Linked DNA regions of Drosophila melanogaster. The protein of the gene in region 2 interacts with the protein of the main gene of each other region in a pairwise test. Each region holds a gene or a part of one and is shown on either strand. Other genes may lie near its edges.

Region 1 (2,721 bases), 1.9 Mb from region 2:
TTATTGAGGCAAATATATATAAAAGAAAAAAAATAAATAAATAAGGTACATTTTGAACTTCACTATAAACAAAAGTCAACACGTCCTTAGTCTCTTAAATATGAATTCGACTTTAAAATCGAATAGTATTTGCAATCCACATCAGAAATAAAGTTCTCTTAATTCAGACTAACAAAAAAGATTGATGTTCTTATATATGCATTCACATAAGTTCGACATGGAAGAAAAAATAATCGGAAAATTGCCAAAGCTTCTTCCTTTTCAAAAAGTGTTCTGCATTTGTGTGGGTATAAACGTGTCCTTGTGAGTGTCTGCACTCATGCATAGAAATAAGCCGATAAAACCCTGACAATTGTGTCATGGAGTAGCGTTTTAGTTTTGGGATTGGACTTAATGCCTCTTGACTTCAATTTGCATAGTCGGCTTAGCAACGTTCGTGCAATGATTGAATGACAAATTGATAGAATTCGGCATTTACCAGTTGACAGCTAAGGAAGAGCTTTTTCCGGTCGGAGGAAACGGAAGAAAAGTTAAACCGATGATGGAGATTTCAGTTCAAATTCTGTTTGAGCATGATTTAATTATCGTGCCGGTTAAAAAGGACTTTTCATTTGCCTACAACAATGTTCACAACGAGTTGCGCCTTTTTAATTATAAAAATCAAAATTCATGAAAAGCTCTTAGAATATAGAGATATGATCTTTTAGTGTTTAAATCTCTTGAATGCGAGTATAACATAATATATATATAAATAGGCTTTTCATCATCACATATAGATGATTTAATCCTTCTTCTCCAACAAAATTTTAAGCCATTCCCAACAAAGTTGTTAAATTGTTAACAAAGCGAACATTTTCACTCAAAAAACGCCCCTATCGCATTGACTCTGACCTAGACCGCAAGCCGTTTAGATCCCGCAGGACTTCCCATTAATCCAATTAGGGCTGAACATATTTGCTTCTCATTAAAAATGAAATCCTTTGCTTTGGACCGGAATCAAGAGCTTTGACCAATTACCAAGCGTTTTTTCATTTACGTTCGCACATTCGAAATAAAAAATTAACCAGGAAGGTCGCAGATAAAGGCATTGACAGAGCAGCTTAGAAATCTCTTTGTCAGCAACTTAAATGAAAATTAAGACATCTGCTTTCATTTAGCTTAAGTGCTTATCTTGCGAAGGACGCAAAGGCAAAGGACACGTTTGCCCACAGGACAATCAATTATGAATGCAACACCGAGCACCATCAGCTTGGCAAAATAGTCTGTAATAAAAGTTAGGTTCATGAGGAGTGCGATGCTTTTGGGCGGCTAATGATGATAATTATATGTTTTAAGTGACATTGATTTGTCGCCTTCAGGATGGGCCGGGAAATTCCCATGATGTTTAATTCATTAGCCAGCTAATCGGCTTACTCTGATAATTAATATAATTGATGTCAGTCATCTTATTGTAGCGCCACCCAAGCAGGCTACTCATTCCCAGTTGCCTCTGTGTCATTTCTATGGATCTAAAATAGGTTTCCCAGTACTATTGACGCCCTGAAAGTAATCAGATATTCACACATAAAATAAATTCAAATAAAATCTGTATATTTTGTACGCTCACAATGAACATGAGGGGAATGGCCAAGCGTTCTATTTGGCTGCAATGTCTTCGGGAAAATGCCACCAATATGCGCCTGGAGCACGAGGATCTGGGACGTCGCATTGCTGTTTCTTTGGCCAGTTCCCAGAAAGCTCTAGTTGATATCGAAAACTTGAATCAAGAGCTGTTAAAAATGAAGGACACAATCCATAATGCCATTTCCAATGTTATGGGCTACGAAAAGAAGTGTTGTGAATTGCTCCTGGAAATTTTGATTAAAATAGTTGAGAACAACGACCTGGATGCCGAACTAAATCCCAAAATGATCTCCAAGGCGTTTCTCGACTTGGATCCGAGTTCCGACGAGACAGAAGTTCTGAATGACCGTAGTCTTGCAGCGTCTGATTTTAATCAGCAATATCCAAAAGATGTGCCGGATTCTATTGATATAAACATAACAGAAGACCAGTAACCATTTTAAATAGGATCCAAGACCGCACCAATTCGATTACTAACGTCTTAATTTAATGCGTTGTCAATTCCACCTCACACATTTAAAAGGAATAATAAGGTGGTCAGGGCTACAAATGTTTTATATTTTTTATCGATTCAATTAAATTTGCATGGTGAAATGACAAAACCCATTGTCTCTTTCTTCAGTTTATAGTTGTGGGAAAGTTTCTAAGACGTTCGAAATGTTAAAACCCTTGAAACGAAAAAACTTAGGATGACCATAAAAATACAAAATTATGAACAGAAAGAAAAGAGAAAAGCACGCCAACATCCGCACAAATTGTCCTGCAGAAAAGTCAAGACAAAATCACGTATACGCACTGTGACAACCCACAGCCTGGGTTAAAGACAATCCCAACTGGTAATCCAAGTCGTGTGCGTAGCCAGCATCCATGTTCCTAAACAATTTGTCGGCGATTTGTCGGCAAACTTGAGCCATATACGCCACACATACGCACCGAGTGAGCCATATTGCACATACGCCCCGTGTGACCCACAGAGGAATACAAAGAGTAACGAGGTTAAGTGACCCAACCAGCAAAACAACCTGTTGACTCAGGCTCTCTGCTCTCTCACTCAAAGCAAACTCACTCATCGGTGGGTTTGTTTTGCTCCGCTCTTTC
Region 2 (3,960 bases):
ATGTTGCAGAGTAAGAAAAGATACAACATACCTGTTGGCGCCTGCACTGGAGTAGTGGTCACTACACTGGCATTCGAAACCCCCGCGGATGTCGTTATAATTCGCTGGCGCGGCTGATGAATGGTTCGGATCAGTTGCACCTGTCCCTGACTCTGCATCCAAGCACCACTGTTGCTGGACGAGATGACAGCCGACGATGGTTGCGATGTGAGCGCCACTCCACTTCTGCTCACCGATGCTGTTGCTCCGCGTACGAATCCTCCGGTTGAGCTCAGCACTGTTGGCGCTGTGGGCGTAACCGTGGCCGATGATGTGGCTCTCAATGGCGTGACGAGCCGCTGGCCAACTCCAACGCCAACGCCTCCCATTTGGGTGGCCGTCACACTGGCTCGCGGCAAGTATGTGGCCTGGGTTACGGGCCTGGTAACCGTGATCGATGCATTCGCCCCACTCCTCGCCGGTGCAGCTGGTATGGCTGTTATCTGAGTCCTTCCGGTGGCCGTAACATTCTCTAGCTGCTTGATCATTGGCATCACCACCCGCACCTGTGTGGACTGACCACCAGCGCCAATAGCACGGATCGAAGCTGCCGTAGTCGCTTGTCCTGCATTCAGAGCAATTGGAGTGCCACCTAGGGAAGTTTGTTGAACTTGATTGGCTGACGCCACCTTAATTGTGCCTCCGCTGAGGATCGGTGTGCCCGCAATGGATATCCCACCGCCGCCGTCGGATTTCACGTGGGTGATCTTGGCGGCCACCGCCGGGTGCGCTGCAGAGGATGGCAAATGGGATGGCAATGAGTATTTGTTTATGACGCCGCGCAGCTGCAGGGGCGGATGTGAGTGCGATACCAAGGATGCGGATGCGGATAAAGATCCAGTGGCTGCCAGAGATGATGATGATGATGATGGATATATAGATGGCAGCAATGACAACGATGGCACTGCATGGGTGTGCAGTTGTTGGGTGCGTATCTTAATGGTTTTCAGGGGGGCTGTGCGGGTGGCTACTGTGAGATTTCGGTTAAAAGCTCCACATGGAACACCAATGGACGGACAAGTGAAATTGGGGAGCTACATACATATAACATTGGTTTATTTGTTTGGCTTTTAAATTTAATAATAATATTTGTTTCCTTTTGATGAAAATTAAATATAATATAAATATACAATTTTAAAAAGATGTATGTTTCTATTTTTTAAGAGCCAAACAAGTAAATTTATTAGATAAATAACTGGAAATATATTATCTTTGAGATCAAGCTAAATAAGAACATTTTGTGGGCAGTTGGCAACCCTGAAACGAATGCACAGTAACAACAAAACAAAGGCATACAAACGCAGACGTTGCTGCGAATGTGAGGCACAAAGAGGAATAGGAAACAAACAGTGCGCGTATGCAAGAGCAAAAGAGAGGGGCACAAATGTTATGTATACATACGCATACACGGGGACAATGCTAATACGTATATACGTATGGGGATAAATATATATAAATATTCCACTTGGATATCGGTGGACTTACCTGATGGCGCTGTAGCTGTACTTCCACCGCCCACCGGCCCTCCTCCCGCGCCACCCTCACTAGGCGCACTCATTATTCCAGCTTTGATTTTGCGATATCTGAAAGACGATTTTGGCATTAGACTTCTGTTCCACGTTTCACACGATTTTCGCCTCTTCTACACCACCCGCTCTTTCTCTTCTTATCACTGCGCACTATGTATCCACAAAATCTCTCCACAAGCACGCACACGAAAACAGTCTGAGAAAGGCTGTACTTTGAAATTTTTCTTAGATAAACTTGCCTTTTTATGCTAATTGGTCGCACACATTAAGCGCAGCAAATTAGACTTGATGATTTTTACCGCGCCACCTATTAATACGAGAAGTTTTTCTTGTTTTCCGCTCTTCTTTTCACAAGGCTCAATTAAGTAGTGTTACCAGATTGAAAACAATAAGTAATCTATGAAATACTAAACGCTAGGTGTTCAGAAAAATACTCGGAAATTACACAAGTAAGGAAATACCAAAACAATTTTTTATCCGCTTAAACCGTCATTTTAGGATGATAGGTTTTTAAGCACGAATTTTATAAATCATATTAGTAATACAAGTATTTCCAACATATCATAAAATTAAGGAATTCATTCAATATTTTCATTGATTTATAGATTTTTAACTAAGTAATGCAATGTTAACACATATTGTTTTGTATATATCGTCAAAACTTTGATTTCTCTTCATTAAAATAGACACCAAAGAAGTTTGTTAAATTCAACCCAGGAGGAATGCCTACTCTTCATAGTATTGGGGATAGGTTACTTGGTGTACAGCCAATATTAGTCATTTAATTGATAGTTATTGTCATTTAATAGATTGGTATTGTGTTTTGTCTCCATTTCCATCCAGAAACTGATGATACAGCAAGGCTCTGCAGGCATTGGCATAAGTAAACTCTTTGTCCCAATTTTGTGACTTTTTCTTCATTAAAGAGAAGAAAAGTAAAGTAAAGCCAAGTAAATTGGCTTGTTTTGGTACTTTTAAACAATGGTTCACGTTTACAATTCTTCATCATTAGTTTTAACAATAATAATAATATAGCGAAATAGGTATTAGCTTGACAATATTCAACTATTATCCTCGAAAATTTGGGCCCAAAAATAAAACTAAAAGAATATAATCAAAAAATTAAGACCCATTGGTATTTTAAAGAAAGTGGTATTTTTCGCGCGGGGGCGTATTGGCGGTTCGCCACCTGCGGCCACACTGGCCAACCCACCACTTCGCTTAGTTGTGTTTTCGTCTTGCCTTTTCCACTAGTCTCTCTCGCGAAGTAGTTGGAAAAATCACCTTTTGCAAAGTTTTTCGCTGGGACCAAAAAGCTACATTTTTCAAAAACCGAAAGGAAATTACGCTGATCGTCCGTGTGTGCGTGCGTGTGTATGTGAGAGAGTGTGTGCCATCGATCCTGCAAGTGTGTGTTTGTACGCGAGTGTGGGGCCGCAAATTAAAAGCAATACCACACTGAAAACCGAGATAATCGCACACGGAAAAGAACGGTTTAATTCAATTACAAGTGAAATTAGAGTGTGTGCCCGATAATTGTCAACTGGCCAGGTGGACGGAAAAGACGGTGGTGGTGTTACGTGAAAATTTCGGAGATCGTCGAGGGCCAGAGAATCACATTTAGTGGCTGGCCAAAGGGGAAAGAAATTGATTTTCCATTTTCCACAATTGCAATTGGAAGCAAAAGCAAAGCAGAAGAGCGAAGAAAATAAAAGGGGAGAGCAAGCGTGCGTGCACGAGCGAAAGAGAGTGTGGAGCGCGAGGGGGTGTACGACTGTGAGAGAGAGAGAGGGAGAGTGGGAGAGAGCAGCACTTCCAGGCGTCGCATCCTCCTCCTTTTTCGCATGCAATGAATATTGTCGGGGAATATGAATACAGCTCCAAGGATATGCTGGGCCATGGCGCCTTTGCCGTCGTCTACAAAGGACGTCATCGCAAGGTAAGAAAATAAACTCTTCAAAACAAATAAATACCTTCCATTTACCTATATATACATATATGTATATGTATGTTAAGCCTAAACAATTCCGTCATGTTACTAACCTGTTTTCCACAACATCTAATTCGTTGTTATTGTTTTCGTTTTGATGCGGGGCTTGGTCGCATTTGTAAATAGTACAATAACAAGCCCCAAAGTTATTAACAATGCGCCATTGTCAAAGGTAAACACGCAGAAAGCACCAAGAGCCAAAGCACCACGCTAAATGTCTCAAAATATAACGACAAATCAGCTGATCACAGTGCAGGTCAAAAAATAATGACAATTAAAAAACTCCCAGCACATTTTAAAAAATTCATAACCGCTTATTTTTTGTTTTTATTGTAGATATTCGTTTTGTACTGGCATACAAAAATTGTCTACCTGTTTTTAAAAACAATGTTTATGATTTGT

What was found. Proteins that work in one complex are often made in the same cells at the same time.
Region 1: the proteins of Sap130 (region 2) and CG13476 interact in a two-hybrid assay, tested with the Drosophila melanogaster proteins (one large-scale study listed by BioGRID).

What each region holds. Positions count from the first base shown.
Region 1 is NT_037436.4:14,703,937-14,706,657, forward strand, and holds CG13476 (uncharacterized protein), read left to right. Parts: upstream 1-1,527; 5' UTR 1,528-1,607; coding exon 1,608-2,057; 3' UTR 2,058-2,221; downstream 2,222-2,721.
Region 2 is NT_037436.4:12,803,902-12,807,861, reverse strand, and holds the start of Sap130 (Sin3A-associated protein 130), read right to left. Parts: upstream 1,961-3,960; 5' UTR 1,808-1,960; intron 1,677-1,807; exon of another isoform or gene 1,623-1,676; 5' UTR 1,598-1,622; coding exon 1,525-1,597; intron 1,176-1,524; exon of another isoform or gene 995-1,175; coding exon 32-994; exon of another isoform or gene 1-31. Other genes in the region: Atg1 (Autophagy-related 1), read left to right, coding at 3,418-3,507.